Linked DNA regions of Callithrix jacchus. The protein of the gene in region 2 interacts with the protein of the main gene of each other region in a pairwise test. Links are inferred from orthologs where the notes say so. Each region holds a gene or a part of one and is shown on either strand. Other genes may lie near its edges.

Evidence for each region.
Region 1: the proteins of RBM41 (region 2) and RALYL interact in binary tests that used the Homo sapiens proteins (3 or more experiments, as listed by UniProt). The two-hybrid records come from large-scale screens. The link is inferred for Callithrix jacchus from reciprocal best matches to the Homo sapiens genes RBM41 and RALYL.

What each region holds. Positions count from the first base shown.
Region 1 is NC_133517.1:42,626,679-42,633,000, forward strand, and holds the start of RALYL (RNA-binding Raly-like protein), read right to left. Parts: upstream 3,547-6,322; 5' UTR 3,109-3,546; coding exon 3,093-3,108; intron 1,096-3,092; exon of another isoform or gene 1-1,095.
Region 2 is NC_133524.1:103,630,162-103,636,033, forward strand, and holds part of RBM41 (RNA-binding protein 41), read right to left. Parts: intron 2,156-5,872; coding exon 2,008-2,155; intron 459-2,007; coding exon 292-458; 3' UTR 1-291. UniProt on the Homo sapiens protein: May bind RNA.

The DNA of each region.
Region 1 (6,322 bases), on a different chromosome or scaffold from region 2:
CAAATATTTCACATTTTTTTAACTAGGAAGAAAATTTTTAGCATAGCTAATTATTTTTCTTTTCTTTCTTTCTTCTTTCTTTCCTCTTTCTTTCCCTTTCTTTCTTTCTTTCTTTCTTTCTTTCTTTCTTTCTTTCTTTCTTTCTTTTCTTTCTTCTTCTTCTTTTTTTTTTTTTTTGAGACGGAGTTTCACTCTTGTTACCCAGGCTGGAGTGCAATGGCGCGATCTCGGCTTACCGCAACCTCCGCCTCCTGGGTTCAGGCAATTCTCCTGCCTCAGCCTCCTGAGTAGCCGGGATTACAGGCACACGCCACCATGCCCAGCTAATTTTTTGTATTTTTAGTAGAGATGGGGTTTCACCATGTTGACCAGGATGGTCTTGATCTCTTGACCTCGGCCTCCCAAAGTGCTGAGATTACAGGCGTGAGCCACCATGCCTGGCCCACTAATTATTTTTCTAATTAACTATTTTTATATTCTGAAGACATTGTTTGTATTATTATAGTAGCTCTTTTAACCATTTGACTTTCACACAAATTAGAGAAAATAAACCAACTATCATTTGTTAAAATTTTAACACATCTGTTATGGCTAAGAATATACGTGTCTTTATAATGGTATGTTTGGAAATTTTCCCCTTTGTATATATACCACCACAGTATGGCTATTTGATGCAAGTTACGAAAAAAATCAGGGTGCTACTTGACTGTTTATGACCATGAAAAAAATGAATGTAAAAAAATAATTGTTAATCTTAAATGATGAAAACTTATTCATTTAAATGTTCTTGGATAGACCACATACTCAAGACAGAATTCCAAATAGGACTTTTTTTATGTCAAGACTGAGACAGATGCTGCAAAATTAATTTAGTAATCCAAGACTGTAAAAATGCCCATATTTTAGCATCCCATAGAAAGTTCTAGAAAATGTAACCGGTTGTTTTCAGTTAGTGATTATTTGTCACAATTTAGATAGTAAAATGTTTGAGGTCAGCTAGTGATCCAATGCCAATTTAATTTGTGGATCTTCTTTCTCTCAGTCCCTACCTTTAGCTTGGGAACCTTCTCTCCTTGCAAAATAGACACTTTTTCCCCCATATCCCCACCCCCACCCCACTCTCTCAGTAAGCAGTAGAAAAAATCTGCACAATTAAATTGATCTAAATCCCTATGGGTTGCTTGACGAAGAAAAAAAATATATATATATTTTTTTCCCATGAGAAGCCAGTAGGCGGTGCTAAATGTAGGATACTACCTTCAACAATTTTTAACCGAAAACTAAACAGGTGGCCTGTTTAAGAGTTGTAGAATTTCCAGTATTATTCATACAGGAAGAAATCTGAAGGACTTGAATGTAATAGACAGAAATGTAATACAAGTATACAGTATAATTAAAAATGAATCTTAAATGAAAGCACAGATAACTAAAGGTTCTTAGAATGATATTAAGTTACAGAAATCAAAGCACAACTACCTCTCTATCCTCACATTAAAATTATTTTTGTTCCCATTTGAAACCATTTGATATCAAATGATTTCAATCTCATTGAGAAATATATAGTACAGCCAGTGCTTTGCTCAATCTTAAGGCAGAAACTACCTCAACATTAGGGCAGCAATTGATTCTCTTAATGAAAATGCAGGTTCAATAACTCAAGTTATTTCTTGCTTGCTTGCTCTGTCTCTTTCTCTCTCTCTTAAAAGAACGAAATGACTTACAATACATAAAATATACCAAATATACACATAAATTATCTTGCATTTTTAATAAATGAGCATTTATATGTACATACCTTGTTATAATTAAAATGATTTTTAAAATCTCAGAATGTTGCAAATAGCTTTTTAATGTTTTATGTTAGCAGTTTGAACCATATGAAAAACTATATTTTAGTAATTAGCTCACTATACAAAATAAGAAAATACTAATTTCAGGCTGAGTGCCATCATATTGACTTCAAATCTTAGAAGAACACACATCAAGATATCAAATATAGTGTCCACAAATAGCGACATAAACTATCTTCTTTATGTAAATGCAACAGGATTTCCTTCATAGGGAAAAGCTACTCTAGAACAAAATAACTCACAATGAAGTGTCCAAAGGCTTTTGAGATACTTGCATTCATTATGAATAAAAAATACAGAGTTTTCCAGATATAATAGTAACTTTTAATCTTCTACAGAAAAATGGCCCTTTGCACTGCTTACTTTTCTACTACAAAGAGTAAAAAATAAGGCATAAAACTTTTCATTCCACAAACTGAGGTTAAACACAGTGAAATATTGCTTGAAAAAGCCTGTGTACTTTGTCCTAGGCCTCTCTGTATGTTGGAGTTAGTTTGTATTTTTGTAGTTACCTAGAAGAAAACTTCATCTGAGAGGTAAAAAATTGTTTTATCTGCCTTATGTTTATTTTACAGCATTCAAAATATATGCACATAATAATTTAAAGCTAAACTTTTCATTTAAGGGGAGAAAAGGTAAGAAAATAAAAGCTTCAAAATCAAATTATTTAAATAATGGTGACTCTCCAGATTTTCAGATGTATGCCTTTATGAAATTTATTTGGACAAAAAAATTTCCAGCAGATTCTGTCACAGTGTTAAATACAGAAAAACCTTTTTATTGCTCGCTGGTACATATCTGAAAAGTAATGCTAAATTATTCTGAAAATATGTAACAGAATAATCATAAAATATCATAGACTACATTCAACACTGAGGACTTCAGTGCTACCAACACACGAAATCATCACCTTTGTCACCTGTACACAGTTCTCAGGGGAAAACCTTTAAAGTCGGTATAAGGCGGTTAAAAAGAGGGAAAACTCTGCCCCTTTAAAATTTAAACAAAAGGCGTTTTTATCCCTTGAAGGTGTAGGGTCATTAATGCAAACTAACAGCTTAGTACTCAATATTAAACCCAAGTCACCATCATATAAGAAAACTATTTCCCCATCCCCTGGAAGACGACACCAGCAGGCACTTAAAACCAACGCAAAGCAACAGGGAAAGGAAAGATCCAAAAACAGCACCACTAAGAAAGCAAAGCCCTTTGGAAAAGCAAAATAGGCTGGGAAAGACCTACTGCGTCGTTTACTCATTGCGAGGAGGAGGAGCAGGAGTTGAGCGTGCTGGGGCTGGTGCCATCCTCAAGGCTCTGGAAATGTCTCGAGCTCCGGCCCGCGTGGCCTGGAGCCAGCCCCTCCGTAAGAAGCGGTCTCTGCCGCTTCTCCCCCGCTCTCCCGGGTGCTCTGAGGGTCCCCTTTAGCAGACGGCCCGCACCACGTACAGGGCCCTCGTCCCTCCTGCTGTGCAAGTGGCCCTCGGAGAACTTACATGGCCCGCCGGCCGGCGCCGCCCGCAGCGCAGACGCCACCCGTCGGGAGACGACCTGGGCGCAGCTCACAGTAGGGTGTGCGGGGGTCCGTATTTTGGGCACATCTAGAAAACGACCCTGAGGCAAGGAACAGACTTTGGTTTTCCCTGGCTCCCGGCGCGGCTCTCCCCACCTCAGGCTCCGACACTGCCCGGAGATGCGCGCGCGCAAACACACACACACACACATACTCTCTCTCTCACACACACTCACGCATTTCTTTGCTAGGACCAGTGTTGCCATTGCACACCCGGGAAACGCCTCCAAGGGGACCAAGTACCTGCTCTCTGCGAGCTGCTCAGCTGTTCACTTCATCCTCCGTTGACAAGGAAACCAAACCGCACTTCATTTTTTTTTTTTTTTCCATAAAAACCTTCCACTGCCATCATTTGGAAAATTGATTTACGGGGAGGGGAGAGGGAGAAATAAGGGATAATATAGATATAGATATCAGGATATCTATCATAAAATTATCTCGGTTTTTTAAAAAAGTCAAATGTGCAAAAGTCATAGTTAATTTAGAGGAAGAAAAAAGTATTTTGCTTAAAAATGATCCCAGTCACCAGCTGTAAGAAAAGTTTCATGTTATCAATGGGTATCAAAAACAGGAAGAAAAAAACGAATTTGTTTTCACCGGCTTCCAAAAAGGGCACAAAAATATAAAATTAATGTCTTTGCTCAGTGGTTTGCACCAGTATTGCAAGACCACAAACTTGTAAACACTGCCGTAAAATCCCACCTATACAAAAAATGTTATCAGAAAAAGAGTATGCAAAAAAAGAGTTAGAAACATGCTTTTTATTTTTACAGAGGAAAAAAATAGGCACCATACTTCACATCGCTTTTTCCATAAAACCAGTTGCACATTTTGCTGGACTTGGGAGACGCTCCCAGCGGGCACGGTCGCCGCGGACTCCCAGACACAGCGCCTTGTCTACAGAACGATCGCATGCTAGAAAAACTTGGATTCAGGAAAAGGCTCAAAACCATGCTCCTCCAGCTTTCCCAAATATAAACAATAATCAAAGAAGTGGAAAAAAAGAAAAAAACAAAAAACAAAAAAAAAGGACAAAAAAAAAGAATAGGACAAGAATGCCACTGAGAAGGTACTCACCGAGCGGGAGTAAAATGTTGGAATAAAAATGAGATTTAGTATAAAATACAGTATGGCGGTGGAAGAAGGAATGAAGAGCGTTTTTTTCTCGCAGTCTCTGCCTCAGGCACTGACACGTGACTCGGAGCCAGGCTGACTTGCAGGCAGCGGGGAAGGACCGAGGCTGCGAGGGGGGAAGCCCACGGAGCCCAACACTGGCTGTCGAGGAGGCGGCGGCGGCGGCGGCGGCGGCAGCGGCGGTGGCGGCGGAGTCCGGCGCCTGCGAGCGGCAGCACCAGTGGCGGCAGCAGTGGCAGCGGCAGCTCGCGGCGAGGCTGCCTTCGCTGTGAGCCCAGACGAGCAGGTGCCCCTCACGCTGAGGCTGAGCACACGCACACGCACACGCAAGACAGGCAGGGCGCCGGCGAGAGGGGGAGCGGAGCGGGGTTGGGCCGGAGGCGCGCAGCTGCCGCCGCCTCTGCCGCCGCTGCCTCTGTTGCTGCCGCCGCCGCCTCGGAATGGGAGTGTGTGCGGTGGGGACGTCTCAGGGGTGCTGATCCAGCGCCTTGAGAGGAGGTGCACAACTTGCTGCTCACCTCAGAGTTGTTGCTTGCCACTTCCTTGTGTATTTCATGTATTTTTCATCTCAAGGTAGTTACCTGGGGATAGATACCATCCTTTTCTCCGTGGAAGTTTTACTATTCGAGCCCAAATTCACTCATTCATTTTTCCCCCCTGATTTTCCATTCCCATTCCCTCCCAAGCTGTCTTTGCCTCTGCTGTTCCCTCCTCCCTGGATCTGTGTTTCCCCTCCCGGTTCTCAGGGAACCTGGCTCCGCGCGATGCTGGGGGCGTTGTCACGGGCAAAGCCACCGTCAATCTTTACTGCCATCTGAACGCACTGCTCTCGTTCCCCGTCTTCAAGGAGGAATGCTTGCAGTTTGAAAGACACAACAACACCTCTTATTTAGGAACCCCCGGGTTTCTTTCTGCGGGTTTCGGAGCGGTGGGTGGGGGCGTGGGTGTCTTTAATTTATTCATTCGTGGACCAGGCATTGTTTGTTTTGTCTGAGTGTGCGCGGGTGCTTCTGAGCTGGTCTGGAAAGCTCCGAGGGTCTGTGCTCCATAGCAGAGACTCCTGTATGACTCTTGCTCAAGTTGTTGGCTGAGGCTGGAAGTCAAAGGAGAGGTTCAAGGGAAACAAGTGAGTCCATTGTGTGAGTGCTCGCCTGGAGGGAGCAAGCACTTGGCGGTCGAGAGGGGGAGACGTGTACCAGCAGTGAGGCAGCGCGCACCCCGCGGGAGCCCAGGTAGCTGAGCAGTGGATTCTGAAGGTGAGGGTGAGAGAGGGATTTCTCCACCCAGCATCTGGGTTAGGGCGCTCATGGATCGCCTGAACAAAGATGCCATCAGCCAATCGCTGGATGCATTGGGCTTCTATTACTGCCTGTTGGAGAATCAGTTTTGTGGATGCTGGAACGCATCTATTTTTCTTCATTTTTGTACAATACTCACATCAGGACCATTTCCCTGTGCTGCTTTGAATCTAGGTTGTGTGGAATTAATTGGCATCTCTATGTTTGAGAATGAGCAATTAACACAGTTCTGCAGTTCACAGATTCCTGCTCCCAATCTTTATCTCAATGTTTCCAATGCTGACGTTTCAGATAAAATGCCTCCATCAGTGATGATCTAACCTCGACAATCTGAAAATTAAGTACACATCTCTTACACAGAGCTTCAGTAGCAAATATGGTTCTCAAACATTGTGCTCAGAATTCATTGGCCAAATAAAGTTTTAATCTGCAATTTAAATAAAAGAGATTTAAAATAGCCATTAAAATAT
Region 2 (5,872 bases):
ATCCTTAGGAATAATCCCTTGTAATTTATCCTGAGAAAATAATACTCTTAGCACTCTACCCTTCATACTCAGCATATATCATCTGTCCCATATAGTTTTCAATTATATAATAGAAAATGTTTTCTACTAGTTCTCTCCAAAAGTTGAAAGGGGTTTCCTGAATTAATTTTTTCCCCTCCCTCAGTTAGTTTTTCCTCTTCAACTCCAAACAAACTAATGTCTATACATAAATCCTAGATCCAAGATTCCATCACAAGAAAGACCATCCAAGACCCACAATCTATATATATTCTAGCTACCACTTATTTCTGTAGTGCTACCTGTAGCACATGATATGAGAGAAGTAGCTTGGAGATTTGACTGTTGCTTTTTGTTCTTTCCAAACTCTATCACCAGTATTCTCCCACGTAGTTTATATCCATTTACTAGATGCAATGCTTGCCATGCTACCTCCTTATCTAAAAGAGAAAGAAAAAATATCAATTTACATAGGACTTAATAATTTAATTCTATTCCAGGTCTAGTTTTGGTTATTTTGCCTTGGAGTTAAATGTAAGCTGTAAGACCATATAATCATTTGATTTTATCATTTTTTCTATAATCTCCCATTTGCATTATTCAACAAAATTAAACTAATGTCTAAAAATAATAATAAAAACTCAAAATGGGTGTTTGAGGGTGTCTCCTAATTCAAAGAAATAAGTAGAGAAACAAGGATATAGGCAGTGTGCTAAAGAAGTCTAAGCTATTAGTAATTATACACAAGCCTCTATCTTACATAACTGATTATAGGTACTGTGAGAACCAAATCATTTTCGAAATGAGTAACACAAACAAAATAAGTTATCATGTTATTAAGGGCACCTTGCCACTTTATGTTTTTCAGTGGGAGAGTGGTTCTGGGCCACCTTATTGGGATGAATAAGTTTAAGAATCCTTGCAGGTATATGGGTTGAAATGTGAGAATATATACTATATGCCGGGAGTATTCAACTTATGGGTCTAAAAGCCTGGATGTAAGAAATAAGGAAGGGGTGATTTATGGCCAGGAGTTTGTGGTATCATAAGTAGACAAATAGACTAAAACAATTTTGTTTCATATATATATGTACTAGAAATCTTTTAAAGTGTATACCTTTTAAGAGTAGTAAAATAGCTACACATTTTAAAGTCCTTGCTTTATAAAGCCTTTTTATTAAGTATTTTTTCAATTAATACATCATATCATGTGGAGTGCCCATAAACTGTTTTATAAATTCAAAAGGGGTTCTTACCCTTGAAAAAAACTGAAAACTACTGATATAGAGGATTTAAAAAATCTTTAGTACAATAGGAAAGATGGTACAAGACGGTATGAAAACAATGGAGGGGGGCTTAGCAGTACTCATGTGTAAAATCACTTGCCTACACATAGATTAATAGGCTATTTAGAAATGATGATACTTTAGGGACAATGAAAGGTACAGATTCTACAAAGCCTCCCCACAAAACAACATATTATCTGGTCTGTCACAGAAACTAAAATTCTTATATTATTCTTCCCTTTGGATTAGAAGCCATGCATTAATATGCAAATAATATTTAGAAGACTATCATCATCTACTAATTATGAATTAGTAATAAATTAGTACATTAGCTTGCACTCACTGAGTCCTAAAGGAACAGGGCATAAGGCAAGTACATGTGTTCGGATCAGAATACTAATACATTAATTAATGAGTAATCTAATTTTAACTTGGAATAGAAATCCTATCATCAGTGAAGGGAGTATAGATTTTGGTAGGATAAGAAGGAAGTGTCAAGACTGGGAAATTTGAGGACACTGGGGTAACGTGGTCATGCATTGTCAATGGAGGAGAGGAAACACTGAAAACATATTTTCCGTTCTTTCTCTTGTTCTCACATGCTGTGAAGAAATCAAAGGACTATATCTAAATTAGAGAGGTTATAGGTAGACTCTAGTGAACTGAGGGGCAACTGGGTAATCATCTGGATTAAATTACTTACTGGGAAAGGTGATGAAAGCCTGGCCCCTCATTCGTCCAGTCATCATTCGGAATTGAATTGCAGGTCCTTTTTTCTCCTGGAACCGAGCGAACAATGACACAAGATCTCTTTCAGTCACTCGAGGGCTAAGGTTCTTCAGGTATAACACCTAAAACAAATTGAGGATCAACCAAAATATCATATAAAGGAGATAAGGCAACTCTTTTCTTTTTCTTTTTTGAGACAGTTTTACTCTGTCACCCAGGCTGGAGTGCAGTGGTGTAATCTCGGCTCATTGCAACCTCCGCCTCCCGGGTTCAAGTGATTCTCATGCCTCAGCCTCCCAAGTAGCTGGGATTACAGTCATGCACCACCATACATGGCTAATTTTTGTATTTTTAGTAGAGATGGAGTTTTACCATGTTGGCCAGGCTGGTCTCGAACTCCCAACCTCAGGTGATCCAACCACTTTGGCCACCCAAAGTGCTGGGATTATAGGTGTGGGCTACCACGCCCAGCCATAGGCAACTCTTTCATTATGATTAGAATTAGTTTCACATAAAAATGGCAGACTGAACACATTCATTTAATTTCATTCCATCCAGAAAACTCTCTAAAACTATGGGAACCTTTTTGTTGTTGTTGTTTGTTTTTTCAGAGAGAGTCTCACTCTGCCAGCCAGGCTGGAGTGCAGTGATATGATCTTGGCTCACTGCAATCTCTGCCTCCCAGGTTCAAGCAATTCTCTGCCTCAACCTCCCCAGTAACTGGGATTATAGGCGCCCACCACTATGCCCAGCTAATTTTTGTATTCTTTATTAGAGATGGAGTTTCAACATCTTGGCCAGGTTGGTCTTGAGCTCCTGACCTTGTGATCCACCCACCTTAGCCTCCCAAAATGCTGGGATTACAGGCGTGAGCCACCACGCCCGGTTACTATGGGAACTTAAAAAAACAAAAAACACAAGCCAAGGAGGTCAGGAGGAACAAGAAAAGGAGATAACAGCAGTAATAGTCTGGAAGATGAAAAACTGGATGAGCAGGAACCAACTCAGCACACTGGAGAAAGCTGAATTTTAAGCTGGTAGTGGAGAAAAACAAGAACCCACCTGTCACCACTTCAGAATCCTGAAATAGTTCCCAAACTGACTATTTCACTTACCTTCAGAAATAAATGTGAAAAGATGGGGTTAAAATAAGGCAGCTGGGTTGAAGGCTGTCTAAAAGCCAATTTGATCTTTAAATACCCTCCCTCACAATATACTATGGGGTAAAAGAAAACTTGCCAATCCTGGTAGAATACTTGAGGCTTATCACCAGACGACAAGGAATGCCATACATAGTTGAAGATCTGAATACTGTTTCTGAAAACAAGGAGACTAAGAGAAAGAATGCATACTAAATGTTGAGGTCCTCCTAGACCTTGCCATTTGGCTCCTAGAATGCTGGTAGTATCCTCCTAACAAAGAGTTTGGAACAGTCTTCTCTGGGAAAACTGGTAAGTCCTAGGAGGAAAGATATGAAAATACTGACTTGGGATGAGGAGTTTCTCCAACAAATGGCCCAGCCAGACCACTTTAAAGTGAAGCTCAAAGTCAACAAGAGCCACTTGTGTGCTTAGAGATTCCAATCTGCTTTTTGGTCCCTACCTATAAAGTTGGGCATGGATTATCAGGCAACTTAGGAAATCCTCTAATGTGAAAGAGAGAACACAACAAACATACAGAAAAAAAAAGAAATGGGAGGAAAAAACTTCAACAAACCATAACTAATATCCCCAGAAAAATAAGATAAATTATTCCTCCTATTAGGCATGGGAGGGTAGGTACAGTGGCTCACCCCTGTAATCCCAGTGCTTTGGGAGGCTGAGGTGGAAGGATCGCTTGAGTTCAGGAGTGTGAGATCAGTTTGGACAACACAGTGAGACCCTGTCGCTACAAAAGAGACAGGGTGGCATGCGCTACTTGTAAGCAACTGGCCAACTTTACTAGTCTCAGCTATTTGGGAGGCTGAGGCAGGAGGATTACCAGAGCTCAGGAGTTTGAGGCTGTAGTGAATTATGATCACATCACACCACCACACTCAAGCCTGGGCAACAGAGTGAGACCCTGTCTCAAAAAAACAAACAAACAAATCAAGAGAAGTAAAATGAGCTCTTATATGTGACTGAACTTAAGATGTTATCAGCTTCAAACAGATTGCTTTACCATGCCCTATACCTATAGGGCATATACAGAGGAAAATGAGAAATATGTGAAAGTATGTCACTACCAAAAAACCCAATGAACCATAAAGGAAGACAGCTGACAGAGAGACACAAGAGCTAAAAGAGAGACAGAAAACAATGAACAAATGGTAATAGTAAGTCCTTTGCTAGCAATAGTTACATTAAATATTAATAAACTCTCCAAAAGACAGAGTACCTGAATGGATAAACAAGATCCAACTACATGCTAGCTATTCTATGAGGCCAGGATTACCCTGAAACCAACCCAGACAAAAACACTGTAAGAAAAATACAGACCAATAAACAGATGTAAAAATCCTCAACAAAATATTACCAAACCAAATTAAATAGCACATTAAGAAGATTATACACCATGACCAAGGGGGATTTATCCCTGGGATGCAAGGATGAATCAATATACAAAAATTGATCAATATCACATATTAATAGAAAAAAAGATAAAAATTATATGATCATCTCAATAGATGCAGACAAAATTTTTGATAAAATTCAATATTGTTTCAATGATGAAGACACTCAACTACTAATAAAATGAAATTATCTCAACATAATAAAGGCCATATATGTAAAGTCCACAGCTAACACAATATTCAGTATTAAAAAACTGAAAGCTTTTCCTCTAGGATCAGGTACAAGGCATGGATGCCTACTCTCATCACTTCTATTCAGCATAGTACTGGAAGTTCTTGCGAGAGCAAATAGGCAAGAAACAGAAGTAAAACGCATCCAAATCAGAAAGAAAGAAGTAAAATTATCTCTGTTCACAGTTGAACTGATCATACATGTAGAAAACACTAAAGATTCAACAACAAAGAAGAATTAGACATCATACTGAACAGAGAAAAGCTGAAAGCTTTTCCTCTATGAACTGGCAAAAGACAACAATACTCACTCTCACTACTCTTATTCAACACAGTAGTGGAAGTCCTAGCCAGAACAATTAGATAAAGGAAAGACATAAAAGGTATCCAAAGCACAAAGGAGGAAGTCAAATTATCCCTGTTTGTAGACAACATGATCTTATATACAGAAAAACAAAACAAAACAAAAAAACCTAAGAGACTCTACCAAAAAGCTCTTAGAACAGATATGCAAAATCTGTAGAGTTGCAGCATACAAAATCAACATACAAAAATCAGTAGCATTTCAACTGTGAACTAGCTATAAAAGAAATCAAGAAGGCAATATTTATAATAGCTACAAAAAGCAAAATAAAATACCTAGAAATAAATTCAATCAAGGAGGTGAAAGTCCTCTACAAGAAAAACTACAAAACATTGGTGAAAGAAAGTGAAGAGGATACAAACAGGAAAATCAGTTGTGGTTTCTATACACTACTAATGAACAGTATGAAGAGAAAACTAAGAAAGTTATCCCATTTACAACAGTATTGAAAAAAATAAAATATGGAAAAAAGGACTTAACCAAGGAGGTGAAAGACTTGTACTCTGAAAACTACAAATGTTGCTGAAATAAATTTAAAAAGACACAAATAAATGAAAATATATCCTGTGTTCATGAATTAGAAGACTTAGTATTAATATATCCATACTATCCAAAGCAGTCTACAGATTCAATGCAATCTCTATCAAAGTCCCAATGGCAATTTTTACACAAATAAAAAAAACAATCCCCAAA